7 linked regions of the Neurospora crassa OR74A genome follow. The protein of the gene in region 1 interacts with the protein of each later gene in a pairwise test. Links are inferred from orthologs where the notes say so. Each region holds a gene or a part of one and is shown in the gene's direction. Other genes may lie near its edges.

Region 1 (4,216 bases):
ATGCCCAGCGGACCCCGACCTGAAATGAACGATCCACCAAGCGCCCAAATGTCAAGAGGGAAAACCCGGGATATGACGCTATCTACACGTGCGGTTACAGTAGATCGCTGATGAATGCCCGGGTTTGCCGGTCGGGACCAGCTGGCTGCTGTTTCTTGATTGATTGATGGGAAAGTTGGGCGTGAAGAAGAGCCCAAGTTGACTGTCACAATTAAGCCACAATTACGGCCAATCAATAGATACTGTGTAACAAAGTGAAAGTTGCGCTTTCGAGGTACTTATTCAGGTGCTATGCCGTACCAGCAGCGCTCGAGATGCGGCTGGGCTGTGCTTGCTCCTGCACGATCTCACTCTTTCGGGTTCAATTTGGACAAGAATCCTTCGTTCCTGCGCCAGTACCTTGCTTCGATGTTGTTGGTCGGTCATTGGGGTTGACCTGAACCCTCGAAATGCGCTGCGGTTATTCCAAATAAAAGCTAGGTACATACACCTCCAGCGCTGGGAGGTTACGTACCTGTTCTTGGGGTTTCAAATTGTAAGGTACGAACAAGGTGTTCATTTGTCCTCGGGTCAATAGTGCACTTCCTACCTACGCTTGATTTGATCTCGAATGGATTTTCCGTGGACATTGCAATTACATAAATATACATTTTGGTGATAGCATCCATGAAGATCGCGGTGTCTTCGCGACCGCTTCGTTGCATCGTCTAAATTCCCCCAAATTCAGCGAACCCCCCCACCCCCCCGAACACACACCCCCCGGACCGGCTCCTTTAAACGAGCACTTGGGTCCACGACTTGGACATAGAGTAATTTCCAACGTCTCCCTTGGCTCGACCATTTCGACCGCAACTCCAGACTCTTGATCACGATAAAGGTCAAATTCCTCGCAGGGTCACCGCAGCCGCGCGTGCTCGCTGTCGTCGACATCTTCCCGACGTTCCCTCGCTCGAAATTACAGGCTACCTATCCGTAGGTACCATACAGGAGGGCCTTGGCCGGCCGCAATCCTACGCGCAAGCGGGCATACCTACAGTGCTTGCTTCAGCGGCTACCCCTTGCTTCAGGAGCACCCGTACACTCTAGAAGAGCTTCCATCCTCGTTCACCTTCTGCCCGGCAGCCGCAGCGCCGCACCCCCGTCACCCGTCACCAACCCAGCGTCACCCGCTCTCACACGCTGCTGCCGCCGCCGCCGCCGCCGCTCGCTCCTTGATTCCATTTCCTACCGGACACACACACACCCCCCCTTCCCCGGCAGAACCAAGACTTGTGATACCACACCACCAGCCACCATTCGCACCACGGCGCCTTTCGTTTTCCCCAATTCCTTTCTTCGCAACAGCAACTCCCTTGCGTCGGTTCATGTCGGCTGCCATCCAAAGGGCATCATACGAGCAGATTTCCCGCAGCAGCCATGGGCTTCCTCGGCGTCTATAGGGCCATTTACGATTACACGCCCCAGGGCGAGGGCGAGTTGACAATCTCCGAGGGCGACATTCTCTATGTGTTGGAAAAGAGTCAGGAGGACGATTGGTGGAAGGCGAAGAAGAAGGCCAATGCTGCCGACGATGACGAGCCCGTCGGCTTGATCCCCAACAACTACATTGAGGAGGTATGTAATGTGGTCCGAGGTCTAGATCTGGATTGCGTGCAGTGTCATCTGGGCACTTGTACCTGCTTGGAGGATAGCAAGCTGGCTGGCCTTGGCATTCAGATGGATCACTTGAACTGACCGCGCACACCATGACGCCAGGCGAAACCCGTATCATACGCTCGCGCGCTCTACGAGTACACGCGTCAGACCGACGAAGAGCTCTCCTTCCCCGAGGATGCGCAGCTCTCAGTCTTCGACACTTCCGACCCCGATTGGATCCTTGTTGGCCACGATGGCGACTACGGCTTCGCGCCCGCCAACTACATCGAGTTGGGCGATGGCCAGGCTGGCCAGGTCGAGGAGGAGGAAGAAGCGACTGCCCCCCCTCCTCCTCTTCCGCAGAGGACACCCAGCGTCAGCGTCGATGTAGCCAGCCCGCCCCTGCCCGCCAGGAGTGTGCCCTCCGAGCCAAGCACCCCTGTCGCCGCTTCCAACCCTGCTGCCGCCGCCATCGCCGGAGTTATGGCCAACCGCTCTTCTTTCCAACCTCCAGCGCCTATCAGTGTTCCCCAGCCCCAGCGACAGTCATACGCTTCGGAAGATTACGAAAATGAGGTAAGGTCCCCGCCGCTTCCGAGCCGCCCGCGGGGCGATTCGCAAATTGCTCCGGAGCAAAAATCCTACAGACCGGTGCCGCCGCCCGCTCAGTCAGCAGCCCACGACACCGACGACTATGGCATTAGCCCGCGAACCTCCCAGGCTCCTCCTCCTCAGACCGCCGCGCTTACCCCTGGCGGTTTCCACATGTACAACATCAACGAGATGACGTCGGTGATGGGCAAGAAGAAGAAGATGCCTACCACGCTGGGCATCAACCTGAGGACGGGAATGATTCTCATAGCGCCGGAACATTCCCACGACGGTCCATCGCAGGAATGGCGGGCCGATTGCATGACACACTACTCTCGGGAGGGCAAGCACGTGTTTATGGAGCTCGTACGACCAAGCAAGAGCGTTGACTTTCATGCGGGCGCCAAGGACACCGCTGAAGAGATCGTCGCGATGCTGGGCGACATGGCCGGAACTGTGCGCCTCGAGGGACTCAAGGAGATCATTGCCGCGGGAGCCGGAGGCAAGAAGAAGAAGGGTGCTGTGCTGTATGATTTTATGGCTCAGGGTGAGGACGAGGTTACTGTCGGCGTTGGTGATGAGGTAGTTATTCTCGACGATACCAAGAGTGACGAGTGGTGGATGGTGCGTCGCGTCAAGAACGGCAAGGAGGGTGTGGTTCCCAGCAGCTACATTGAGATCAACGGCGTGTGGGAAGAGCCGGAGACGGCCGTTACCGGTATTGCCGTGGGCATGTCGGAAGTCGAGAAGAACCGCCTGGAAGAGGCGCGCTTAACCAAGGAGGCTATCAAGGCTGCCCAGCGCGAGGAAGAGAAGGAGAAGCAGAAGAGGAACTCTGAGGTAGGCCCAGGATTGCAATTGCAAGAACGAAATAGTAGTTTGCCGGCCACAGATGATAACAGGAGAGGAAAACAGCGAAGCAGTAGGCGCGAACCCGGTCAGAACAGCAGCTCCAAGTCGTCAAGCAAGTCGAGTAAGTACACCCATGTCCAGATTTTCTTTCAGAGTATGCAGAATACTGACAGTTTGTCGCAGAGCCCGATCCTTCCAAAGTGCGAACATGGACCGATCGATCCAAGTCCTTCAGCGTTGAGGCCCAGTTCCTCGGTGTCAAGGATGGCAAGATCAGGCTCCACAAGATGAACGGTGTGCAGATCGCCGTGCCCGTCTCGAAGATGTCAGTTGAGGATCTCGAGTACGTGGAGCGCGTAACTGGCGAATCTCTCGACGAAGACAAGCCCCTATCCGATCTTAGGAACAAGCGATCCGCCGGTGAGTCTTCGAGGTCTAGTCGATCGACGCGCGACAGGGAAAGAGACCGTGGTTCCAGCTCCCGGGTTGGCGCCACCATCGATTCCTCGAAGAAGCCCGACTACGACTGGTTTAACTTCTTCCTTGGTTGTGACATACAGGTTGGTTTGTGCGAACGGTATTCTCAAGCTTTCCTGCGGGAGGCTATCGACGAAAGTGTCTTGCCAGATGTTGATGCTACTGTGCTGAGGAACTTGGGCTTGCGTGAAGGTGATATTATCAAGGTCATGCGGTACCTGGACAACAAGTACATGCGGAACAAGAAAGGCGAAGAGGGCGAGGGAGGACTCTTCTCTGGGCCAGGAGGTGCGCTCCGCAACAACACGAAGAAGGGCAGGCCGGCGCCCCCCGTCGAGGTCAGCAACACCGTTGATCCCAACGCTTTCTCTAAGGACTCGGGTGCTGGTAGTGGCAAGTCATCATCTCCTACGGCTGCGGCTACGCCAACACCGTCTGCCTCGAAGCCTTCCAGTGGCTTTGATGATGATGCTTGGGATGTCAAGCCTACCAAGACGAAAACCCCTGAGCCGGCTGCGCAAGCCGTTGCTCCCGCTCCTGCGGCGGCACCCGCTGCCGCTCCAGCCCCTGCTGCGCCAGCTCTGGTTGACGCGCCGGCCCCCCCTCCGCCGGCGGCTCTTACCAAGTCGATGCAGGAGTTGTCGTTGCTTACCCAGCCTTT
Region 2 (4,133 bases), about 3.6 Mb from region 1:
CCGAAAGGAACTTGCTATGCTGCTCGACTGCCCGCACAAAGACATCGTTGAGCATCTAACGACGGAACGTGGCCCTACAGAGTCAGCACTGACCTGTACAGTGCCCGGAGTGTTGTGGTATGTAATCAGGTTGTCCCAGGAGAGTGGTGGCCGGGGTACTTGTCTTATACATGACGCTTAAGAGCCGTACCACTGGGTAACCAGAGGTACCTACCTTTACGGCTCCATGATACTGGTACAAGCGCCGCGTTGCTTAGTAGAAGATTGCTTGAGGTTACTAGAGGCAAAACAAAGAAGTAGGTAGGTAGGTAGGTATAGTGGTTCACATCGATACAGCCCACCATCTTGCCTTCAGTCTCCCTTTACACGACTTTGAGTTGTCTGTGGTTGTTTGGCCGGGTTCGGTGACCTGCCCGTTGGCGTTGGCGTAAAGCCTCTTCGATTCTTTGACAATGCCGAACGAGTACCAAGGGAGCAACACCATCATAGAAGCCATTCATCCTTATTGAGGTGAGAAAGCGGAAAGGCCCAACCCATACGCAAACGCCTCGTTTCACAAACATGTTTCGAAGCCACGTTGTTTTCCGCAGGCAACGTGAAGACCGTCCACCTCTACCGCCATGCATGATATGGGAGGCGTCAATGGAAATGCTGTCGTCGTTACCATCTGTGTCGGAACCAAAGGCTGAGATATGCACAGTATACTAAATTTTCCCCAAGATACCATCGATGATAGTGGGAATTTTTGAGCATAGATGATCTTCAAAGTTTCGTCTTGTCTCGCATGGCGAATACGGCTGGAATGTCGGTTGAAGACAAGACGAAACCCGGAAGATGGGACGTTTGACAGTGCACTAGGTACGGAACATTACCGAAACCCCATCCCTGAGCAGCGCCTTGAACATGGAAAACTGAGCAAAGGTAAATCTCGGTGATCGTTCCAACAAGACAAGGTATGATTGGTATAAAGACGGTTCTATGGTGTCGAGGGGTGTAAATCAACATCTTGTAACGGCGCAGAATACATGTGGAATGCTGACACTGCTCCTGCCCCATGGGGGCCCGGGCCCCCCTTACAAGGGGCCCCTAGAGTCTCGGCCCCACCAGAACTGCCGCCTCATTCAGGGTCCATACCTCTTGAGGTAGGTAGGTTCCGTCCTTCTCTCTGCCCCTGGAGGTGTTGTTTCTCGCTTGGCAGCTGCCCTGTACCTGCCTACCTACCTAGGTACCAACCGGTTCCAGCCTGTTGCCCGGGCCACTTGCGCAGCCCGTCTGTGTGCATTACCCCTGCGCTGTGGCGGGATGGTTTTCAACTAGGCCACATCGCCAGATTGCCGAACTGAACTTCCAACAAGTGAATTCTCCATCTTCAAATCAACCCATCTTCCTAATCTTTTTTGTGGTGAGACGGGGAAACTGTGCCGCCTTTTTCATTCCCAGCCTATACAGGATTGCTCAGTGGGCCTATCTGATTCTCGACCGCTGCTACGGTCGCGACTGGGCTTCGTCCTGTATGCTGTGCCCTCTCCCTCCTTGATTCCGTTGCTTATGCAATAAATAGCTGTCTGACCAGTTCCGCGCGAAGCCTCCATGTCCGTTCGACAGGGACGAGCTTTCGATTCGACCTTCCAGTCTCTTCTCAGTCGCCGGGAGCCGATGCCGTCTTCGTAACATCATTCTGATTATTGGCCAACACCGTTGCTATCCCTGGCGCTACTATTCTGCCATATTTGAGATCGAATAAGACACTGTTCTGCTTGTCTCTATATACCTACACGAGCCGGTCGTACAAATTCGTCTTTGGTGCTCGACACCGCAACCAACTGAAAACACTTACACAACCTTGCGCATCCCCTGCGAAGTAGACCGACCTTGGGCCGCTCCAGATCATTTACCCGAACTCAGCTATGAAGCTCTCGGCTATCGCAACGCCGCTGGGCTTGGCCGCTCTGGCTATAGCGTCCAATGTCCTCCCCCGCGACTTCGATTCGAACGATTACTATGTTCTTCATCTCGATGCCCGAACGTCACCTACTGAAGTTGCCAGGAGCCTAGGATTGTCTCATGAGGGGCCCCTTGGTGAACTCCAGGATCACCATCTCTTTGTTGGGAGGAAAGCCGAGCACGATATCGTCAAGAGAGAATTGACGGAGCGCCGGCGCCGAAAACGATCATTAGGCGACGAGCCCCATGTTCTGGATAGTGTTCTCTTTTCAGAGAAGCAAATTTTGCGGAAACCTTGGGAGAAGCGCATGGTCCCCCGACCAGTAGGACCCTCTAGAAGGGGTCTCTTTTCCGATCAAGAGGTTGACTGGGCAGTCAAGAAGCAAAACGAAGTTATCGGGAATTTGGGCATCAGAGATCCCATATTCAAGGAGCAGTGGCATCTTTTCAACACTGTCCAGACTGGGCACGACGTGAATGTTACCGGGCTTTGGCTCGAAGGCGTCACTGGAAAAAACGCCACCGTCGCCATTGTCGACGATGGCTTGGATATGGAAACCGATGACTTGAAAGACAACTACTATGCCCAAGGGTCATGGGACTTTAACGACAAGGGTCCTGATCCAAAGCCCCGATTAAGCGACGATAAACACGGAACTCGCTGTGCCGGTGAAGTTTCGGCCGGGAAGAACAAAGCCTGCGGTGTGGGAGTAGCATATGACTCCAGGATTGCCGGCCTGCGTATCTTGTCAAAGCTGATATCTGACGCTGATGAAGCCGTTGCTATGAACTACGACTTTCAGCACAATCAGATTTATTCGTGCTCCTGGGGACCCCCTGATGACGGGCAGAGTATGGATGCTCCCGGAATTCTCATCAAGAGGGCTATGCTCAATGCCGTCCAGAAGGGCCGTGGTGGGCTGGGCTCAATCTATGTCTTTGCCAGCGGCAATGGTGCAGGAAACGGAGATAATTGCAATTTCGATGGCTACACCAACAGCATCTACAGCATCACCGTCGGAGCCGTTGACAGAAACGGCGACCATCCCTATTACTCTGAATCGTGTTCCGCGAATCTGGTCGTGACATACTCCAGCGGCGGTGGTGATTCGATCCACACGACTGACGTTGGGAATGCTTGTTCTGATACTCACGGTGGTACCTCAGCTGCCGCTCCGCTCGCAGCTGGTATCTTTGCTCTTGTTCTGCAGGTTCGCCCAGATCTCTCATGGAGAGATATGCAGTATCTTACCGTGAACACTGCTGTTCCTATCAACCTTGACAGCGGCGAGTGGCAGACGACTGCTATTGGCAAACAATTCAGCCATATGTATGGCTACGGCAAACTCGACAGCTACGCCATTGTTCAGGCAGCCAAGACCTGGAAGAAGGTGAAGCCTCAGGCCTGGTTCTACTCTCCTTGGATCCATGTCAATAAAGCAATTCCCCAGGGAGACACGGGAGTTGCCGTCAGCTATGAAGTTACGCAGGCAATGCTGGATGAGGCCAACGTCGAGCGCCTGGAACATATTACGGTTACCATGAACATCATGCATACTAGACGAGGAGATCTTAGTGTTGATCTCATCAGCCCTAACAATCTGGTCAGCCATCTTTCGGTCAGCCGGAAGAACGATGAGGCCCGCGCTGGCTATGATGACTGGACATTCATGAGTGTCGTTCACTGGTAAGCGCACGCGTTACCGCAATTATCCGAGGTAATCTTTGCTAACCTGTACATAACCAGGGGTGAAACCGGCGTCGGTAACTGGACAATCATCGTTAAAGACACCCAAATTAACAGTCACGAGGGCGTCTTCACCGATTGGCATCTAAAGCTTTGGGGCGAGAGCAAGGACGCCTCCAAGGCCAAGGTACTCCCGATGCCGACCGAGGAAGACGACAACGACCACGCCGCCATCCCCACGACCACCCTCCCCGCTACCACGACCACCCTACCACCTCAACCCATCGCCACCGACACCAAGCCCAGCACCGTGTCCGACCATCCCAACCGCCCCGTCAACTCGAAACCAACTCCCACCGACGCCCCCAACCCCTCGCCCACCTCTGACGAACAAACCTCGGAGACCACCACTCCTGCAAACAGCACCTGGCTGCCCTCCTTCCTGCCCACATTCGGCAAGTCAGCCGCCACCATGGTCTGGGTCTACGGCTCCGCCGCCCTT
Region 3 (4,294 bases), on another chromosome or scaffold:
AGCCGTACACGAGCCTTGTGCACCACCTCTTGCCAGATGGGTTTCCGTTCACCTTCGCCAACACCATATGATGGCTCCCTGGTCCATGTCTTGCCTCCAGTGCTAGGAGTGGCAGGAACGGAACTGGCACTTTTCAGCCTGGAATGGCCGCGGAAGAGCATGTAAAGAGATAGTGTGAAAGAAGGCCCGATGGGGACTGCTCGGTTAGGGTTGTTCACAAAGTGTGAGTCCCCGAATGACAAGAAGGCACTCGCCTGCATCAGTCTCGACGGAGAGATGCCAGCGTTCACTGTCGTGTTCATCCTCTCTCCCGAGGCCGTGATGGCGAGTTGGATCAGAGGGATCTCTCTGTCTATGCGGGCCAGTAGTTCCTTCATCTCCTTGATAATGGTTAGCAGCTCAATATGATGAGCTTCCGACATGCGGGCTTTCTTGCCATCGGAGCGGGAGCTCTCTTCGGCAGTAGCAGCATCGTTTAGGCGCTTCCCGAGAGAAATGATGTCTCGATGGAGAGACTTGGCAAGAGGCACAGCAGCCTCGAGGAAGACATTGCCACGGCCAGATCTTGGACACAGCGTTAGTCACATTCTTGTAAGGGCCAAGGACAAGGTAAGTAGTAAGAAGAGAGGTAGGTTGGGCATACTTGAACTCGATCAGGTCGATAGCTGGTGAAACAATCTGAAGTGGGGAATATTCGTATTAGCAAGGGGTGTCATGTCTTTGTTGGAAGGGGCTTTAGCATTGTTGGGTTCGGAATAATAATGGCCACTCACCTTGATCTTACTATCCAGAAGCTTCTGCAGCTTCTTGAGCTCGGTGTACACTCCTTTGTCGTCGACCGTCTTGAGCAGCCTCGAGCACTGGTTGACGGCGTAGGTGGAAGTGATTGCGATGCCTGATCTGATGGCGTAGTTGACCGCATGAGACCCGAGCTTGGCCAACAGTGCGTCCATGATTTGCTCAAGTTAAGAATGTGTGGATGGTTATTTGATTGGTACGGTGTATATCATATTCAGTTCCTGTCCTATTTGATAGTTTTATGTACGGAATCAGGTAGGTAGAGGTACCTTACTGTAATGCTCTCCGGCAGCAAGTGAACTTGAACGAAGCGATGCCTAATTGTTAGTGTTCGTCCCGTCCGTTTGACGTTCAGGTCCTCAAGAGTGACGTTGGTTGGCGGGTCCAGGCTTCTTTTCGTCCGGGTCTCTTTTGGGTTCACGGCCCGGCCTGGGACAGTGCATGTGCCAAGAGAGACCAGGGGTTTAGTCTGTTGCAGAGGTTCGCACTGTGATCCTGCTGATCCCATTCCACTGAATGCTGGCTTTGGGCGCACTTCTTCGGCGAGTGACTCCCCGAGTCGCACAGTGTGTGGCGGCAGTTCCGTCCTAGCGCACACAGTAGACAGCGGGACAAAAAATTGTCATGTACCCCGCCACCACTCACTGCACGCCCTCCCCAATCAACGGTGGGGCCCTACAGCCCTTGCCAGCGTTAGGTTTCTTGATCCAAATCTCTCTTCGACTTGTTCCCTCGCTCGCTACGTAGTTGGACGCGCCGACTGGACTGGTCACTCAGAGTACTACAACCAAGTACAGGTCGTCGTCAGGGTAAGTACCTACGGTGTATAGAGGCAGTTGATATAGGGCTGTCTGTGGTCGCATTAGCTTACCATCATTTCTGTCTTCTAGTATAAATCATCCATCTCCATCTCCTGACTTCAGGATTCCCTCCTCGCGCAAGGGACCTACCTTATTTATACACACCCACGTCGCTACCCAGCCGACAGAGTCGGGATTCATCTTTGCTGACCATCAGCTTTATTATCACCACTCTCCAGCCCACGAGCGAGACCCCGAAACCAGACACATTTCTACCGGCACCTTCTCGAGAATCACACGCGACCGCTATCTATCCAACATGTCCGGAAACGTTCAGAACAACTGGGAGGAGGCTGCCGACCAGGATGAGCGCCTGGCGCGCCAGACCCAGCAACAGATGAACATCAACGCTGGTACCTTCCGCCCCGGTGCCGCTGCCTTCACCCCCGGCGCCCCCTCCTTCACCCCCGGCCAGTTCGCCGCTCCCGGCTTCACTCCCCAGTACCAGCAGCAATATTACGGCGGCGCCCAGCAGGGCTACGGCGGTGGCTACCCCCAGTACGGCCAGCAGGGCTACGGACAGTACAACAACCAGCAGCAGCAGGGCTATGGCGCTGTTTACGGCCAGCAGGGATATAACCAGGGCTACGGTAGGCCGCCGCTTGTTCGTACAGTCTTTGATCGAGGAATCTAACTGATAGACGTGGATAGCAGGCCAACAACAACAACAACAACAACAACAACAATACGGTGGTTACCAGCAGAACCAGGGCTACCAGCAGAGGCAACAGCAGAACCGCGATGCGCCCAAGCCTGCCCCTCAGATCGTCAAGAGGCCAGAGCAGCCCGCTGCCCAGGCGCAACCAAAGGCCGACGCCCCCAAGACCGCTGCCGCTCCCGTCAAGGTTCTCAGCGTTGGAGGCGATGCTCCTGCCAAGGTTTTGAGCATCGGGGGTGATGCGCCCAAGCCCGCGGCCAAGGTTCTCTCCATCTCCGGCACTGCTCCCGCCAAGGAGGAGCCCAAGAAGGAGGCTGCCAAGAAGGAGGGTACCGCTGAGGCCGCCGCCAAGGTTACTGCTACCAAGGCTGTGCAAAAGACCGAGTCTGCTGCTGCTAGCGGCAGGACTTCGCCCGCTCCCTCTTCGGGCCGTGCCAGCCCGTCGGCCGCCAAGTCCGGCAACAAGGTTTCGCGCGACGTCGATGCTGTTGAGAAGGATATTCAGTCCGCCGATGTTGACGAGGATACCCTCAAGGAAATCTACGGCAAGGAGCACATGAACATCATCTTCATCGGTCACGTCGATGCCGGCAAGTCTACCCTCGGTGGTGCCATTCTCTACGTCACCGGCATGGTCGACCAGCGTACACTTGACAAGTACAAGAGGGAGGCTAAGGATATGGGTCGTGAGACTTGGTACCTCTCGTGGGCTCTTGACTTGACCAACGAGGAGCGTGCCAAGGGCAAGACCGTCGAGGTTGGTCGTGGTTTCTTCGAGACCGACAAGCGCAAGTACTCCATTCTCGATGCCCCCGGCCACAAGACCTATGTCCCCAACATGATTGGTGGTGCTTCCCAGGCCGATGTCGGTATCCTCGTCATCTCCGCCCGTAAGGGTGAGTACGAGACCGGTTTCGAGAAGGGCGGTCAGACCCGTGAGCACGCCATGTTGGCCAAGACCCAGGGTGTCAACAAGCTCGTCGTTGTCATCAACAAGATGGACGACCCTACCGTCAACTGGTCCGAGGAGCGCTACAAGGAGTGCACCACCAAGCTTGCCCAGTTCTTGAAGGGTACTGGTTACAACCTGAAGACGGATGTCTTCTTCATGCCCGTCGCTGCCCAGCAGACCATGGGTATCAAGGACCGCGTGCCCAAGGATCTTTGCCCCTGGTATGATGGCCCCTCGCTGCTTGAGTACCTCGACAACATGAGCTCTCTCGAGCGCAAGGTCAACGCCCCCTTTATGATGGCTGTTTCTGGCAAGTACCGTGATATGGGTACCATGATCGAGGGTAAGATCGAGGCCGGTGTGATCAAGAAGGGTATGAGCTTGATCATGATGCCTAACAAGCAGTCGATTGAAATCTCGGCCGTCTACGGCGAGACGGAAGATGAGGTTCCCGTTGCCCAGTGCGGTGAGCAAGTCCGTCTCCGTCTCCGTGGCATCGAAGAAGAAGAAATCATGCCCGGTTTCGTCCTTTGCTCGCCCAAGCGTCTTGTCCACAACGTCACCGCTTTCGAGGCTCAGATCCGTATTCTTGACCTCAAGAGCATTCTGACTGCCGGTTTCAACTGCGTGCTTCATGTTCACGCCGCCATCGAGGAGGTTACTTTCGCCGCTCTCCTCCACAAGCTTCAGAAGGGCACCAACAGGAAGTCCAAGCTTCCTCCTTCGCACGCCAAGAAGGGCGACAGCATCATTGCTCGTCTCGAGGTTACCGGTGGTGCCGGCTCCGTCTGCGTTGAACGGTTCGAGGACTACCCCCAGATGGGTCGTTTCACCCTCCGTGACCAGGTATGTTATTTCTTGTCTGTTGCTTGACGTGAAATTGGACTAACACATTTTGTAGGGTCAAACCATCGCTATTGGCAAGATCACCAAGCTCATTACCGATACCTCTGCTTAAATGGCCAAAAGAAGGTTGGTGTTCTCGGCGAATTTGAGCAAAAAAACTGCACCGCTCGAGTCAAAAAT
Region 4 (4,039 bases), on another chromosome or scaffold:
GACCGCAGAGGACTACCTGGATCTCCAAGATGCCCAAGATTCTCGACAGCCTGACTGAGGCTTTGCGCATTTGCTGTCGAGCTCCCAGTCTCACTGATCTTGCGGATACACGTCGGCGGCTGAGTCGCTCGAATATTTTGCTCGTTGTTGACTGGATATCCGTTGCCTGTCGACCTGTCTTTATACTCCTTCGCTTCGAGCTGTTGTAATCATGCATACCGGGTGCTTGTGCCTGATCTAGGTGTAGGCCATGTAGCCAGGCTGCCCTGCCTATCATTGCGTTTGCGGAACCTGATGCTGATGGTGGGGGGAAACGAGCAAAGAGGACAAAGCCGGAATACCAATGCAAAGTAACAACAAGGCGACCAAGAAGGCATTCCCGTCTTTGCTATTGCCGTGTACATACCAGGTAAGGTGTCACACTCACAGTCCACTATCTCTACACAGGGAGGGGGAAGTTGGAGGGTTGGGAGAGATGGAAGTTCCAGGCGACACCCACCAACGGGATCGCAAGCGGCTTTTAGGCGAGCCAATCCCAGGCCTAGACCTGCCAAGGAGGGTCCGGTGTTCGGGACTCTTGCTAACAGAAGTGCTCGCAGTTGCGGGGGAAGGCAGCGCAGCTCCTACCCAGTCGCGTTAGTGAGCAACATGGACCGACCTATCATCATACCTGCTTCCCCAGAGGCGAGTGCATGCAATTTTTCTCGAGCCAAGTTGGAAGGGCCGCTTCACTGCAACTGGAAAGGGCACAAGGGCTCGGCCAGGATCTGACGGAGATTCAGAGCGGGCGCGAAACCTAGGTAGGTACCTACCTACCTGGCTGGCAACCTAGGTACCAACTACCTAACCTAGCTCACCCAATCTGAGCCTGTCCTTGTTTGGGTTATTTCAGCCGTAGGTAGGTATGTTTGAGTTTAAGTTGAGGGTTGTTCTGGCCTGCCATCGCGTCGGATGTTTCGAGTTTTTTTCGTTCCATGTCACTGAGTGCTGTCCTGTTCATTCCATCGATGTGGATGAGAGCCCAGTCGGCGGAAAAGATCACAACTGCACCGAAACCCGACCCGACCGGACGCCTGTTGTGGTTGTTGTAACGATAACCTGACTGGCAGGCACCGAGGTGACCTGACCTGGGCTTGAAAGAACGCGGACCTGGACCTGGACCTGCCTGCCTACCTCTACCTACTGCTCTCCACTGCTAGTAGGTAGTCTGGAAGCCCTGTGCGTTTCATTAGCTGCGTTGCGTGCGTGTAAATCTTGCTGCTCCATCGGCCCAGTAGCCCAATCCCTTCTCTGCGTCCCCGTCCAGTCCAGTCGCCAGTCTTCTCTACCTACCTACCTCTACCTAGCCCATCGCCCGGCCGGACCCCCCCCCCCCAGCAGCGGGCAGCCCAAGTGGAAGCGTCTGCGCTTGTCCGTCTCCTCCCAAAAGTCTCTAAGCAACCACCACCGACGTTGATTTTTTTCTCCCGACGCTTTCTATCCCAACCAAAACAGGGCGACGTCTTTAACCACAAAGAACGCGCATTTTCAACCCCACCCTGGCGATAGAAGTCCTATTATCATAGGCATCATCTCGCGGTATCTCGTCTTCTGGCCTCCGTCGCTCAATTAGACGCAGCTTTTTCCAGCGACCCTCCGACCGGCCCAGCGCTCTGTACTGCACCTCGCTGCAGCACTTTGCACTCTCCCGGGCAGTCCATCGACCAGTTTTTCCCGACCGTGGTTTTGGCAGTGGCAGTGACAGCCTCTCCCGCAGTCTCAGGACTACTTGAACTCCCCTTCTACACCCGACCTTTTCGAACCCAGATTTTCGACGACGACACGGCGTTTTGCCCCAGCCCCGTCCGCGCGACAAAAAAAAAAAAACACGTTACCTCACAAAGGACGATCAGAGACTTCTGGAGCCGTCTCCTTTTTCCATCATTGCTAACCCTCTTGTCGCCGCGTACTACCGGACCGATTTCTTCGCAATTCCGACGAGATTTGCTTGCGCTTGCTCTAGACCGTTCGCACCTCCGCCAAACCCAGTGACGATTTACTAAAACCAAAGCACAACATTCGGTATCCGAAAGAATACCTATTTCCAGAAAAAAAAAACACCAAAAAAATCACCGCTTGCTGTATTCCCAAGGAGAACGCGTTCGCCTCTCCAAAAAAAAAAAAACCCCCAACAATCGCTTCTTGCTGGGATCGCTTCTGAGCGTAAGTTGATCAACTGCCGTTACATTGCGGCTTCCCAGTCTCTGCCCAGCCGTCGCTCCTCCTTCATTTTCCCGCCATCGCGATCGCGTGCGGCAAACCCCAATCAGAATCTGCGTCGTCATTGGCAATGTCTAACGTCTTGAATTAGTCGTTTAGCTTTGCAGAAGTGCATCTACCCCAGTTTCCTACTCCTTACGCGTGCCGCTCTTTTAGACCCGTCCCATCCGACTAGCTGGGGTTTGTCGGTCGTTACCGTGACTTCGAAAACCTGTGCGCGGTATCTCTCCGGTTGGTGAGGATTTTGCAATGGCGGACCATACCGAAGTCGACCTCGACTCTATAATCGACCGCCTCTTGGAGGTGCGGGGCAGCCGGCCTGGTAAGCAGGTGCAGCTGCTGGAAGCCGAGATTCGCTATCTCTGCACCAAGGCCCGTGAAATCTTCATTTCCCAGCCCATCCTGCTTGAGCTCGAGGCTCCTATCAAGGTAAGCATTGTGTTCTTTCTATTATCCCTTTACATAGCCTCGGCATGCGCCATACTGCCCCTTCGGCAGTGTTCATAGCTGACGTCGTGCCCCACCTCCCTAGATTTGCGGCGATATCCACGGTCAATACTATGATCTCCTCCGCCTCTTCGAGTACGGTGGCTTCCCTCCTGAGGCCAACTACCTCTTCCTAGGTGACTACGTCGATCGTGGCAAGCAGTCCCTGGAGACCATCTGCCTGCTCCTCGCCTACAAGATCAAGTACCCCGAGAACTTCTTCATCCTTCGTGGCAACCACGAGTGCGCGTCCATCAACCGTATCTATGGTTTCTACGACGAGTGCAAGCGGAGGTACAACATCAAGCTTTGGAAGACCTTCACCGACTGCTTCAACTGCCTACCGATCGCTGCCATTATCGACGAGAAGATTTTCACTATGCACGGTGGTTTGAGCCCGGATCTGAACTCAATGGAGCAGATCCGCCGAGTCATGCGACCAACTGACGTACGTTACACCATTCATGCCCGGGCTTTCCGTTTGCTCAGGCTAGTTGCCGTAACATGAGACACTAACAATAGCGCCAGATTCCTGACTGCGGTCTTCTTTGCGATCTCCTGTGGTCGGATCCCGATAAGGACATTACTGGTTGGAGCGAAAACGATCGTGGTGTTTCCTTCACATTCGGCCCGGATGTCGTTTCTCGCTTCCTCCAAAAACACGACATGGATTTGATCTGCCGTGCTCACCAGGTTGTTGAGGACGGATATGAGTTCTTCTCGAAGCGCCAGCTCGTTACTTTGTTTAGTGCCCCCAACTACTGCGGCGAGTTCGACAACGCTGGTGCTATGATGAGCGTCGACGAAAGTTTGCTCTGCTCTTTCCAGGTATGTTTTTCTGACTTTGGCAAGCTCCGAGACCCTTGCACTCTTGCTAACCCCCTTTGCAGATTCTCAAGCCCGCAGAGAAGAAACAGAAGTACGTTCCCAGTCTCAGATGAAGCAATTCAAGACCCCCAAGAAGCACAAGTAAAGAATTTTCTTACGAACACACCCGTTTTCCTTTAGGTTCGGCCGCCGATAAACGTCTGATACTTTCGCCCGCCCGCAACGAACATGAGTATCTTACCGTCAGCTTGTCTACCGCCGCCATGTTTCCTGATCGCCAGGGCTCCCAGCCATCATCCCGTCTGCCGTCTGTTCCGACCACTTCTTTTGGGGAGGTCCTCGCCCCTCCTGCCGTGCCAACGAAACGAAAGCCACGTCTGCCCGTCCTGTCTCTCCATCCGTCCGGTCTCCACACAACTCGAGAGGGTAGGAAGGAAAGGGAATCTTTTTATATCTCGGGGGATGA
Region 5 (4,151 bases), on another chromosome or scaffold:
CATTAGGTTAGGAAGCTTTGGGTATGGGGTCGGGTCATCTGACCACTCCGCAGCATCAGGGACCAGGAGGCGGGGGTACTGGCGTGGGGCGCATGTTGCCGCAACCCACAAATCTTTCGACGCTTTTGTGAAGCTTCTGATTGTTTGCCAGTTAAAAAGGAACAAACTCACTGGACGCCATCACGCCAGCTGTAGTGCTCCGGTTTTTGCCCGCATCAGCACCACTCAGGGACCACAGGCCCAATGAAAACTGTGATCGGCGACTCTGGACTTTTACACCATGTACACGATGTCCTGGTAGCTGGTGCGGCCATCAAAATGACACGCAAACGCTATCCATCGAAGCGATGATGTGACCGGCCTTGTCTCCACCGGGCTGGCTGGAGCTGGGAATAAAAGGAGTCATCCTCTGCAGCTCCAGGTCGGAATCCATGGCGATGAGGTGTGGTGAGGAGCCCGACTCCGTGCAGAAAGCCAGGACGACCATGCTATTTTTGCCCGTTGAACGGAGCGGCGGCGGGAGGGAACGCGCGGGGACCTCAATGCTTGTCTGGAAAATTTTGTGACCGAGCAGCCGATAGTCTGGGGAGCTCCATTCGGCCGCACAGGCCAGCCCCCGACGTTGCTCTCGGCCGATGGATTCGGGTCTTGGCAGCTAGGGGAGATTCGGCCTGGAGGCGTCGACGTTGAAGATGTCAAGTTGGCCCAAGCTTCTTTCAGTTCGTTTGAAGCTTCATTCCTTTATGTGGCCTGTGCTCAGGGGGAGCTGGAGAAAGCTGTCACGTGGCAGAGAGGAGGCCGAGCACGGATTATACATACTGCGTATGTAGCTAGGGTGGTCCAAGCACCCTACTAGTGAGCCCAGTCCGCCCGTTCCTGAAGTCTACCAACACTGACATGTACTTGGAAGCTTCGCTGTTGCTTCTTTGCCTGCCGTGAGCATGGAAAAGGTGGAGCAAAAGAGAAGCAATGGAGAGCATCCATTGGACCATATGGTATTCCAGCTCCATTTGCTCATTTTCCATGTTATTAGTTCCCGCTTCCAACTGCAGTGGCTCCAACCAAGGAACGGGGCGTGGTGGTCCAGTCCTTGGTGTTTACTATGAGTGACATCGATTCACCGCACTGATTGCCTGCCCGACGCTGCCTGGACACTTGACACTGACCCTGACCCTGACACACGCAACAACAACAACACCCGACCGCCGCCAGTGCTGTCGTCGTCGTCGTCGTCATCACACGAGCGCTTCCACGGCGCATCGCAGCCCATACTTGCCATTTGCATCTTGTCTATCTACACCATAATCACTACTCTAATTCAACTACTAGTCTCCCCCATTCCGTGACTGCCGACCAAGAGGAGCTTGCTGCCTCTCTTTCGCCAGTTGCCTCTCCGCTCCTTGAACCCCCTTTTCCCCTCGTCGTGTATCAGGTGTTGCTGCCTCCATTTCCGCAGCCCCAAGCCCCTCTCTTCCTCGTCCGATACTTCTAGACCCGACACGAGGGCCATCGAATTGCATTTAGTAATATACACGAGGAGGAACCGCCCGTCATGTACTCGAACTCGAATGCCTTCCTCGGGGGCGCCAACAGCCTTCGCCCCGGCCAGCAGCCGCAGCAGCAACAGCAACAATACGGCGCCCCGAGTCCGTTTGGCCAACAGGGCCCGATGCAGCCTCAGCCGACCGGGTTTGCGCCGCAGCCGACTGGGTTCGCTCCCCAACCTACCGGCTTTGGTCAACAACAGACCGGCTATGGTCAGCAACAACAGCAGCCGCTCCAGCAGCAGTTCACGGGATACCCGGGGTTGCAGGCCCCCCAGCAACAGCCTCAGCTTCAGCAACAGTTCACCGGTTTCCAACCCCAGGCTACTGGCTTCCAACCCCAGGTTACTGGCTTCCAGCCTCAGGCTACTGGCTTCCAGCCCCAAGCGCCCCAGCAGCAGCCGTTCCAGACCGGCATGCCTCCTGTCCCAGCGATTCCCCAGCAGTTCCAGCAACAGCAGTCGTTCCAGCAGCAGCAGCAGCAGCAGCAGCAGCCATCGATTCAGCAACCCCAGCCGACTGGGTTCCCATCCGTACAGATCCAAGCGCCGGCTCAACAGCCTGCCCCGACCGCCCAGGGTGGCATCGCCCCTCCTCCGCCCGTGAAGCCCCAGGCTACGGGCTTTTCTGAGATGGCCGCCTCTTTCCAGACGGCTGGGGGCAAGGGACGGAGGGCCGAGCAGAAGACCAACACCGTCAAGATCCCCAACATCCGCCTTTCTTTCATCACGGCGCATGACCAGGCCAGGTTCGAGACGCTTTTCAAGTCGGCTGTGGGAGAAGGACAGACTACCATGTCGGGTGAAAAGGCGAGAGATCTCCTTCTGCGGTCGAAGCTGGATGGGGACTCGCTATCACAAATCTGGACATTGGCGGATACCACAAGGTCTGGGCAGCTACACTTCCCCGAGTTTGCCCTGGCCATGTACCTTTGCAACCTCAAGATCACTGGCAAGGCACTTCCTAGCGTCCTACCTGATCACATCAAGAACGAGGTTTCGAGCATGGTGGACATCATCAACTTTAGTATCACCGACGATGCGGGCTCTAGCTCTGCCCCGGCATCTAACGCCCCCAGCTTTGCTACGCAGCAGAATACGGCGGCCGTTCCGACCATTCAACAGCCCCAGCCGCAGCCGTCAAACTCGGCGATTCTCCAGGCGCAGATGACTGGCTTTCCTGCTCAGCAAACTGGTTTCATGGGTCAGAACCAGGGCCTTCAACCCCAGCAGACTGGATTCCCGGGAATGAACCCCCAGCCAACTGGCTACGCCGGTCCTATGCCTCCCATGCCTCCCATGCCGACCGGATTTGGCTCAAATCTGTCGCCTAACGCTGGCCCTGGCGGCATGGTTGCTCCTCTCAACTCTCAGCCCACGGGAATGCCTGGACAATGGGGACTTGTTAATACGCCTGCCACCGGATTGCCTCTCATTGATGCGCTCCAGGCTCGCATGATGCCTCAACTGGGACGTGAACAGCGGAATTATACTACGGCCGGACTTCAAGGTAATGCCGTTATCCCCTGGGCCATCACCAAGGACGAGAAGACGAGGTACGATGCCCTGTTCCGGGCTTGGGATGGTCTGAACAAGGGTTTCATCGCTGGCGATGCTGCTATCGAGATCTTTGGTCAGAGTGGCTTGGACAAGCCTGATCTTGAGCGCATCTGGACCCTCGCCGACAATGGAAACAAGGGCCGCCTGGATTTGGATGAATTTGCGGTGGCTATGCATCTGATTTACCGCAAGCTTAACGGCTACCCTATTCCTAACCAGCTTCCTCCTGAGCTTGTTCCCCCTTCTGCGAGAAACCTCAGTGCGTCTATTGGTATGGTCAAAAACATGCTTCATCAGGAATCCGAGCTCCGCAAAAACACTGGGGCCTCGTTGCTGCCCCAGAAGACCGGCGTCAGCTATCTTAAAGGCCACTCTTTCAAGAACACTGGGGCTAACCGCAAGGATGCTACCGTGTTCAAGAACAACGATGAGGAGGTGGGGTATCGCTCCAGCGCGCGCCGTCGCGTGGGCACGTCTCCTCGTCCTGAATCTCCGGCGGCTAGTAACTCCGGTGATGACCTGACTATTGAGCAGCTTCGCAAGAAGATCAAGGAGAAGCAGGTACTTCTTGATGCCATGGATTTCAACGATGAGAAGAACATGGAGGAAGACGACATTCTTGACAGACGCGACCGCCGCGAGGCCGATGAACTATACCGCCGTATCCGGAGAATCCAGGAGGACATTGACAATCATCCAGATGCCCAGCTGATGAGCGCCGACTCTGATGCCGAGAGACGCGCACTTAAGCGCCAGCTGCAGCAGCTTACTGACAGAATCCCAGAGCTTGCGTCCCAGGTTCGGAAGACTGAGAAGGCCATTGCTGACGCCAGACTTGAGCTCTTCCGTCTCAAGGATGCCAAGGCTCATCCTAACAGCGCCGCCGCCATTGTCGGTACTGGCCCGGGTGGTATGGTCACCGAGTCCGACAGAATCAAGGCCCGTGCGAAGGCTATGATGCAGCAGCGGACAGCTGCCTTGATGGGCAAGAAGATCGATATCGGTGATGATGATGCCGATGGCCCCAAGCGCTTGGAAGAGGAGAACA
Region 6 (4,260 bases), on another chromosome or scaffold:
TCCGTAGACTTGGGTCAAATATTTCAGGCGTAGAGCTCCCCTCCACAGCTTTGATGACACTGGATGGCGGAATCTGTGCGAATGGGTCCGGCAAGGAATCCAACAGCTCCGCCATCGCTTCTTCGTCTGACGATGCGACCGAGTACTCGTCAGCAGTCGCTGGATTGCTGTCACCGGACGGAACCTCATGCTCTCTAGCCAGGAGAGAATCACACGTAGGAACACTGTGGTATGTGAAGATGTCCTGTTCGCCTGCGTAGGTTGTCGGATTGCCACCTGTGAGCGAGTCAAAGATCATGGCTCTGCTAAAAAAGGAAGCATCCGTTTCTTCACAGTCTTCTCTGCCAGCCCGTGGGTTATTGGCACAAAGCTCTAAGAGCTCGGATTTGGAGTATGGGGGCGAATAGTAGCCATCCTGGTCGGAGGTCATCGTGTCCACAAGCATATGCTCTTGGGTATCGCCTTCTTCCCATGACGAATATCCAACCGCGACATTGTCGTCGTAATCGTAACCATGATACTCTGAGAAGGTTTCGAAAGATGGGAATACATATCCCCTTCTCTTGCCCTTTGGGCAGTCCCCATCAGTGTTTCGGCGTTTCAGGGAAGCTGAAGTAGCCGGATGGTAAAGCTCCGATGGAAGTGCTCCAGGCCCGTCCACGCCGTTGTTGACCGGTGCGGCATCATTGGCCGGAAGGGTTGTGGTAGTTGAGAAGGAGGACACATCACAACTGATAATAAGAACAAGTTAGCATTGCAGGCCAAAACATGAAGCGGGAGAACGGGCTTACGGAGCAGCGGAAGTTGCCGCACTGGAAGGGTCCATCATATTCAGGACCACACTCGGGTCATCTGTGTCTGTGACTGACTGGTCTTGGAGGGACAATGTCCGATTGGGTACAAAAAATCAAGACTAACGATACTGATGGAAGTATAGGCGCGTCACGGTATTGTCGAGGTCGAAGCCATTGGGATCCGATTGGCCTTTGGAAATTGAGACCGGGTGGTGGGAACCGGAAACTGCCTCTGGTGTTGACACGACTGGACTGAAAAGGACATGATGGTAGGAGAGGCCGGACGAGAGTCGAAGACGGAGGACTTGCGAAGACTGGACAACGAAGTGGAAATGTTTGAAATTTTCTCACTGTCCTTGAAAGCTGGCAAGTGCGAGTCGTCGAGGCGTTGATGCCCGCCTGATGATGATGATGGATGTACTTGTATACCTCTATGTATAAGTCGTACTTTCCTATTCTGGACGTCTTCAGCGGGCCCTTGAGGGCAGCTGGTGGGCGGGCGGGCAGCCGGACGGGAGTGAGCCAGGCAGGGAGGGTGACGGCGCCAAGTAATCTGGCCCCGCTTCGTAGCGAACCGAAGCCCCACCATTCGGCACCGGAGCCGAGATTTGTAGGGAGCTTGAGGCCTGAAAGCTAAACGCCAAGGACCGGCGACCGGGGCATTGTCAAGGAAGCATGGCTCCCTCTTTTTCGCTCCTTTATTGAAGGCGCATTGGGTGAGGTTGCTCACGAAAGAGCAATGTTCTGTTGGTGACGATGCGGTGATTTTGATTTTACTCATTTGTTTGAAGGGTTGTCGAAAGAAACACTGGGCGCGACGGAATCCGGTTTCACGGCGTCACACGAAATTCAAGCTCCCTCGTATCGATACCCCGCCATTGTTCGCTCCTGCGCCCGCCATCAGCCGCCCCTCGTCAAAGCTTCAGTCAGAGCATACACAGCATCACATCACTGCTGCGCAGGCACGACTGCTGCTTGCTGCCGTTTACCTTGACGCGCTTTCCTCGACAGATTGCGCTTCTTCTTAACGACAACGAAGAGCTTCCACCGACACTTTCCATCAATAAGTCGTACTAGGGACTTTTCCTGGTCAGGCCATTGTTAGCGACCGACTGCGATTGCGACTGCGACTGCGACTGCGACTGCGGCCATCTGACGATAACTGAACAACTTACCCAAAGTCGACGCGACTGTTTGGCTTGGCTCCCTTTCTTCAACCATACCATCCACCACCACTGCACAGCTTTCTCGACTTCTATCCCCGAGCTTTATTCTTTGCTATCTTCTACGACGAAGCAACCACGGCAATCAGCTTAGCGCTACTCCACGATACAATGTTCTCTTCCTCGGTAAACGACCAAAGGTTCCCTCAATAGCTGCGTCTCGTACATTCGCTAACAGCCCAGAACAGAAGCCCTACACGGCTGTTACGGTCGACATCGAACGTTTGACGAGTGAGACATTCGCCGAAGACGATCTCAGCGGCATCCCCGAGCTTATCGAAGCTATCAACCTCCAGGCTTCGGGCCCAACCGAGGCTGCCCGTGCCATTCGCAAGAAACTCAAATATGGAAACCTGCACCGCCAGCTCCGAGCCTTGACCATCCTCGATGCCCTGATTCAAAATGGGAATCCCCGCTTCCAGCGCTCCTTTGCGGATGAACCCCTTCTTGAGCGCTTGCGCTTCTGTGGCACCGCCGAGCTGTCGGACCCCTTGGTGAAGAAGAAGTGCTCCGAATTGTTTCGCAACTGGACTGTCTACAACCGCACTCACGGCATGGAGCGCGTCGCGAACCTCTACAGAGTAAGCTCCCTTACAGTCTACACTTTGACGTCTACCTGTCACGCTCACACCACTCCAGGAACTTCCCCGTCGCAAGCAAGTCGTTACCCAAGAAAAGTCCAAGGTACTTAAGGAGACCGAGAACCCTTTTGGCGAAGACGAGGAGGAAGAACGCCAGCCATCAGCAAGCACCTCAACTGCCCAGGCCAACACATCAACCACACACCCATCTTCCTCATCATCGCATAGGCCGACAGTGTCCAGTTCCAGTGGCCATTCTCACTCCTTCAGTCGATCCGGCAAGGACAAGTCAAAGAAGAGCAGCAGCAAATCCAAGAAGCACAAGCCATTTAACCTCGAAGCCGAAAAGGATCAGATGACCAGGACTATCGCCGAGGCGTCCATTGCCTCCACGAACCTGATGAACACTTTGCAATCCATCAATCGAGAGAAGGAGCGCATTTCGGAGAACTCAACTGCAGTGGAGCGTTTCGAAAAGTGCAAAATGCTTAGAAGGAACATCTTGAGATATGTACGTGACAGTGTCTCTTGACCATAGCCGAACGGTCTGCTAACAGACGCAGATTCAACACGTCGAATCTGAACAATGGCTAGGAGGCCTTCTACATGCCAACGATGAACTCGTCCAAGCGCTCATGACTTTTGAGCAGCTGGACCGCTCTATTGACGCGGACAGCGACTCGGATGATGATCTGGCTGAGCAAGCACATCTTTATCGGAGTATGTTCCCCTCTCCTTTTTGTTGTTCTCCCTCCCCTGCTAACAATTTCCAGTGGCAACTGAAAAAGCTGCCAAAGCCAAAGAATCCGGTGGTAGCGTACCCGGCAGTCCCCGCGCCCCCGTTGCGGGCATGGCTGGGCTCAGCATCACCAACACCCCTGCGAGCCCACCACCAATGCCTCCTCGTCCTGCGCCACCTCCCCGACCGTCTGCGGCTTCGAAACCCTCAATGTTGAAGCCGCCTACAAGAAGGGTGGAACCGTCTGATGACGAGGATAGTGAGGTGGATGAGGACGAGAACGATCCGTTTGCTGACCGGAATGCTGTCTCGACCCCTAAGGTGGAGAGTGACGAGCCCAAGTGGTCGTAGGCTGGGTGGACGTGGATAGCATGGCGGGGATGAAGTGATGATAATACGACATGGATACGAATTGAGTTGCTACTTGCTTACTGGATAGCCATTTGCCTGTCTAGGAAATATTTTTAGCGACAGCGAGGGACGATAGTAATAGTACGGAGGAGTAGATCGAGCAGGAAAGCGAAACACTTCGCAGCATTATCCTCAGTTGTTTTACCAAGTTTAGCGGTTCAGGGGAGAGGAATGAGTTATACCTTTTTGAGTTCTGGATGGCCAGTTATGAGTGGAGAGCGAGTGGTGTTTTCTTTTCAAGTCATGCCTTCGTGGACGGGAACCATCATTGCCATTCATCGTGCATAGCCAAATGGCGAGGCAACAGACATTCAGCACTCTACTTTCTGCTCCCTCCCTTGCAAAGAACCAAAGCTACATGACCAAGAAAGCATTCAACATCTATCAAGCCCCAACTCCCTCCCCATTATGATTTCGAACTCACCAAAGCAGTCCCATCCCTAACAAACACCCTCTCCCCAAATTTCCAAACCTCCTCAACAACCAACTGCTTTCTGCTTATCTTCCCGCTT
Region 7 (3,682 bases), about 700 kb from region 1:
TAGAGGAAGTGGGAGTAGCGCGGTGTATGTTGTACATGCAGCTAGCGGTGCGTCTTCTGCATTGTCCTTCGAGAGGGCGAATTTTTCATCCATCCGCTTCATTGCGCCTTCATTTTTCGTCATCCTTCCCCACCGCGAGCTGGTATCTTAAACAAGAAGCAAATGCCATAGTGGACACCCATCAGTCCTCGTCGCTGTCTTCCTCCATAGCAACGTCCGAATCGCTCTCCTCCTCTTCTTCCTCCTCCTCCCGTGGCCGCTTCGTTCCCCGGTTCTCCTCTGCCGGTGTGGTTGTCTCCGTCCCGGGAGGCTTGGCTGGCGAACCTTGTGGTGCTGGACTCTCGGTATTCGTAGTAGGGGCGCCTGGTACTGGGGCACTAAAGATACTCTGTTGGACGGTGGTGAGGGCCACGGCGGCGGCGGCCTTGGGTGGCACGAGAGTACCGTCGAGTTTGGCGATGATGTTGGAGCGGCCCTTGGCGTAGGTGATTTTCTAGGCAAACCCAAGTTAGCATGTGAAGGGCTACCGCTGAAATATTCAACCCGAGAAGACCTACCATTTTGCGGCCCAAAAACTCCATGCCGTCAAGTGACCTCATGGCCTGTGTTGCTGTCTGAATGTCCCGGTAGACAATGTGTGCTTGCCCGCGCATCTTCATGGTCTTGAGAGCGACGACATCGAGGACGGGGCCGTAGGTGGAGAAGAGCATGTATAGTGCTGTACGGAGGTCGTCCTTCTGGATCTTAGCTGAGGGGAGGTTCGTGACGTAGAGAGTCTGGTTTGGCGGGTTCGAGACCACCTTTTGGGGGAGGCCCGCGGGGGGAGCAATACGCGTAGCCATTGCCGCGTAGGAATCCGGGAGTTGATGCTGTTGTTGTTTGTCCAATGCAGGTTGTTAATTGTCGCGTAGATTTTCAGTATATCGTAGGCGCCTCGTGGTAGGGGTTAATATCGTCAATTGTCTCGTCGTCGTCGTCGTCGTCGCTCGGGTGTATGATGTTCAGTGTTCAATCATGAATTCAAGTCGCGGCGGCGCATGCGATGTCGACAATTCAGATGCTGGTCCAAAAATTGGAGACAGTGGCCAGCCAGCCTACGAACCATCGAAATCGGTACACAAACCCCACGGGCGTGGGTGCAGCTTGTTGGAGGTACTGCGGTTGCGAGCAAAAGTAAAACCCCCTTGTCAGGTATCTTGCACGGACCACCACAGCCAGAGCTTCGTGAGCACTGTGTGGTCGACGACCTGATCCACGGGTTTAACTTACCCATCTCACCATAGTAGGTTCCAGTTCCAGGTGGGTCAGCCCCGGCCGGCAGCAGGGCACTCTTGGCGGCGTCACCCACCCGCAGCCAACCCCACCACCATACGCTGCCGCAACGGTGCCCCTGGAGCCTGGCGGTCTGACCTCATTTCAGGCGTCCAGCCCGCTGTAGTTACGGAGCTCTCCCGCTTCCCGTTCCCGGGCACAGCTTCCCCTTTCCAATTACAACATCCGGCTCCGACACCACCGAACCAAGACATTCGATCACACTCTCCGTCATCACCGTCCCCGATTCCGAGCGCGGTAGTAGAGAGCTATACTCCTATCGCATACCTTATTTCTACACAACACCAACCTAACAACCCACAATGGCTGCTCCCGAGGTCCACCATCTCTTCCACCACCCCATCGCCGACCACTCCTTCTCGGCCGATCGCCAGACCTTGGCCATTGCCCGCGACACCCAGGTCGAGCTCTACGGCAGAGTCGGCAATGCCTTCAAGCTCAAGGATGAGCTCAAGGGCCATGACAAGCTTGTCACCAGCGTCGACATTGCTCCCAACACCGGGCGTATTGTGACCTGCTCTCAGGGTAGGCCCCCCCTTTCGCAACCCAGGCACCCCATAATGCCACCATCACAGTCAGCTAGACTAACAACCAACCCCAACTCACAGACCGCAACGCCCTCGTCTGGGAACCCTCCCCCACCGGCTACAAGCCCACCCTCGTGCTCCTCCGTATTTCCCGCGCCGCCACCTTCGTCCGCTGGTCTCCCTCGGAAGCCAAGTTCGCCGTCGGCTCCGGCGACCGCGTCATCGCCATCTGCTACTTTGAGGAGGAAAACGACTGGTGGGTATCCAAGCACCTGAAGAAGCCGATCCGATCCACCATCACCTCTGTCGCCTGGCACCCCAACAGCGTTCTTCTTGCTGCCGGCTCCACCGACGCCCACGCCCGCGTCTTTTCCGCCTTCATCAAGGGCACCGACCAGCGCCCCGAGCCGAGCCCCTGGGGCGAGAGATTGCCTTTCAACACGGTCTGCGGCGAGTTCCTGAACAACTCTGCCGGATGGGTGCATTCTGTTGCCTTCAGCCCGAGCGGCGACGCTCTGGCGTTTGCGGCGCATGACTCCTCCATCACCGTCGTCTACCCCTCTGCGCCCGAGCAGCCGCCCAAGGCGGTGATCAGCATCAACACGCAGCTTTTGCCCTTTATGAGCCTCTTCTGGAACGGAGAGACTGAGATCATTGCTGCGGGTTACGATTGCGAGGCTTTCCGCTTCCAAGGCGGCGAGCAGGGGTGGCAGCTGGCCGGCACGCTGGAGAAGGCCAAGGCCGGAGGAAGACCGGGTCTTGGTGACGAGGACAGAGAGGAGTCTGCGCTGAACATGTTCAAGCAGATGGACCTGAAGGGTAAGGTCAGCAAGGATGATACCATGTTGAAGACGGTGCATCAGAATACGGTTACTATGTTGAGGCCCTTTGAGGAGAGTGGTGGACGGGTGACCAAGTTTAGTTGTGAGTGTTCCCCATTTTTACATGACCTGTGGTTTCAAGAATTATTGATGCTAACTTGACACAACAGCGAGCGGTGTTGACGGCAGAGTCGTCATCTGGCACACCTAGATTTCCCCTCGATGAAAGAGGGTTGCTGCACACATTGGGAAGCAGAAAAGCCAAGCAAGCAAGCGTAACATCTAATGTTAATGGAACAAGAGTGAATGGCTGATAATGAATCAGATTCAAAGTCAAGATCCATCAATGTCAGTTTAGCGGGTAACTTTCCCGGTCTTTGATTTCTGCCCTATCCGTGCTTCCCGGTATCCGCCAAAGTGATTGATTGTCCATTCACCCATTGTACAGAGACTTATCATGTCACTTCTCCACAGTGAGCTATCCGTTTGTCATGACCGCCCGGCCAATTTTGCAAGATATGTATGTGTGAATCAGACACACAGTCAAGAACAAATACAGGTTCAATACATACAAAGCAATTCATTGACTTCCGCTTGTGGCTTGCCGGACACATTCCGATTTGCCGTGATAACTTCCATAAAAGGATCATAAGAGAACTAATAACCGGCAGCAGGAGAAGTGCATGTCACAATTCATGTCCATACCTACCATTGTTTTGTCCCTGTCGATTATTTATTCCATATCCTTTCGCTCCTCATCCAGACCTTCAGCTTCAAAAGCAGTTTACCATAAGTAATCAGCCGTCCGTCACTCCGTCCCTTTCAGCTATCCAAACAAACTCAACTTACCTCGCTTTGCCTCCATCTTCCCTGCCTGCCTACTTCGTTGTCTGGTTAGAAGAAGAAACAGCGGGATCAGAAGAACCAAACAACAACAAACTGAACCATGGACCACAACAGTTCCTACGACTACTACCCATTCAACCACCCCCAACACCCTCT

What was found.
Region 2: the proteins of NCU02978 (region 1) and NCU03219 interact in binary tests that used the Saccharomyces cerevisiae proteins (3 or more experiments, as listed by UniProt). The link is inferred for Neurospora crassa OR74A from reciprocal best matches to the Saccharomyces cerevisiae genes SLA1 and KEX2.
Region 3: the proteins of NCU02978 (region 1) and NCU04790 interact in a two-hybrid assay, tested with the Saccharomyces cerevisiae proteins (2 studies listed by BioGRID). The link is inferred for Neurospora crassa OR74A from reciprocal best matches to the Saccharomyces cerevisiae genes SLA1 and SUP35.
Region 4: the proteins of NCU02978 (region 1) and pph-3 interact in a two-hybrid assay, tested with the Saccharomyces cerevisiae proteins (3 studies listed by BioGRID). The link is inferred for Neurospora crassa OR74A from reciprocal best matches to the Saccharomyces cerevisiae genes SLA1 and GLC7.
Region 5: the proteins of NCU02978 (region 1) and NCU06171 interact in binary tests that used the Saccharomyces cerevisiae proteins (3 or more experiments, as listed by UniProt). The link is inferred for Neurospora crassa OR74A from reciprocal best matches to the Saccharomyces cerevisiae genes SLA1 and PAN1.
Region 6: the proteins of NCU02978 (region 1) and NCU04724 interact in binary tests that used the Saccharomyces cerevisiae proteins (3 or more experiments, as listed by UniProt). The link is inferred for Neurospora crassa OR74A from reciprocal best matches to the Saccharomyces cerevisiae genes SLA1 and LSB5.
Region 7: the proteins of NCU02978 (region 1) and NCU02781 interact in a protein complementation assay, tested with the Saccharomyces cerevisiae proteins (2 studies listed by BioGRID). The link is inferred for Neurospora crassa OR74A from reciprocal best matches to the Saccharomyces cerevisiae genes SLA1 and ARC40.

The regions. Positions count from the first base shown.
Region 1 is NC_026501.1:8,519,965-8,524,180, forward strand, and holds the start of NCU02978 (cytoskeleton assembly control protein SLA1p), read left to right. Parts: upstream 1-1,416; coding exon 1,417-1,614; intron 1,615-1,755; coding exon 1,756-3,199; intron 3,200-3,261; coding exon 3,262-4,216. UniProt on the Saccharomyces cerevisiae protein: Component of the PAN1 actin cytoskeleton-regulatory complex required for the internalization of endosomes during actin-coupled endocytosis. The complex links the site of endocytosis to the cell membrane-associated actin cytoskeleton.
Region 2 is NC_026501.1:4,941,484-4,945,616, reverse strand, and holds the start of NCU03219 (Kex2), read left to right. Parts: upstream 1-1,333; 5' UTR 1,334-1,511; exon of another isoform or gene 1,512-1,561; 5' UTR 1,562-1,907; coding exon 1,908-3,631; intron 3,632-3,691; coding exon 3,692-4,133.
Region 3 is NC_026506.1:822,350-826,643, forward strand, and holds the start of NCU04790 (eukaryotic peptide chain release factor GTP-binding subunit), read left to right. Parts: upstream 1-1,494; 5' UTR 1,495-1,607; intron 1,608-1,688; 5' UTR 1,689-1,917; coding exon 1,918-2,248; intron 2,249-2,309; coding exon 2,310-4,114; intron 4,115-4,169; coding exon 4,170-4,226; 3' UTR 4,227-4,294. Other genes in the region: NCU04789 (RanGTP-binding protein), read right to left, coding at 1-564, 644-678, 774-953. UniProt on the Saccharomyces cerevisiae protein: GTPase component of the eRF1-eRF3-GTP ternary complex, a ternary complex that mediates translation termination in response to the termination codons UAA, UAG and UGA.
Region 4 is NC_026503.1:2,384,687-2,388,725, reverse strand, and holds the start of pph-3 (serine/threonine-protein phosphatase PP1), read left to right. Parts: upstream 1-1,239; 5' UTR 1,240-2,202; intron 2,203-2,350; 5' UTR 2,351-2,508; coding exon 2,509-2,688; intron 2,689-2,791; coding exon 2,792-3,193; intron 3,194-3,273; coding exon 3,274-3,573; intron 3,574-3,635; coding exon 3,636-3,664; intron 3,665-3,753; coding exon 3,754-3,769; 3' UTR 3,770-4,039.
Region 5 is NC_026503.1:1,749,685-1,753,835, forward strand, and holds the start of NCU06171 (actin cytoskeleton-regulatory complex protein pan-1), read left to right. Parts: upstream 1-1,351; 5' UTR 1,352-1,552; coding exon 1,553-4,151.
Region 6 is NC_026506.1:549,716-553,975, forward strand, and holds NCU04724 (VHS domain-containing protein), read left to right. Parts: upstream 1-1,460; 5' UTR 1,461-2,128; coding exon 2,129-2,143; intron 2,144-2,205; coding exon 2,206-2,598; intron 2,599-2,656; coding exon 2,657-3,109; intron 3,110-3,161; coding exon 3,162-3,318; intron 3,319-3,371; coding exon 3,372-3,688; 3' UTR 3,689-4,044; downstream 4,045-4,260. Other genes in the region: NCU04723 (hypothetical protein), read right to left, coding at 1-731, 792-829; NCU04725 (N-acetylglucosamine-6-phosphate deacetylase), read right to left, coding at 4,155-4,260. UniProt on the Saccharomyces cerevisiae protein: Essential for the organization of the actin cytoskeleton, fluid phase endocytosis and vesicle trafficking, together with YSC84.
Region 7 is NC_026501.1:9,216,037-9,219,718, reverse strand, and holds NCU02781 (hypothetical protein), read left to right. Parts: upstream 1-1,410; 5' UTR 1,411-1,634; coding exon 1,635-1,857; intron 1,858-1,940; coding exon 1,941-2,783; intron 2,784-2,850; coding exon 2,851-2,891; 3' UTR 2,892-3,182; downstream 3,183-3,682. Other genes in the region: NCU02779 (hypothetical protein), read left to right, coding at 1-3; NCU02780 (U2 small nuclear ribonucleoprotein B), read right to left, coding at 182-493, 558-842; NCU02782 (hypothetical protein), read left to right, coding at 3,627-3,682. UniProt on the Saccharomyces cerevisiae protein: Functions as a component of the Arp2/3 complex which is involved in regulation of actin polymerization and together with an activating nucleation-promoting factor (NPF) mediates the formation of branched actin networks.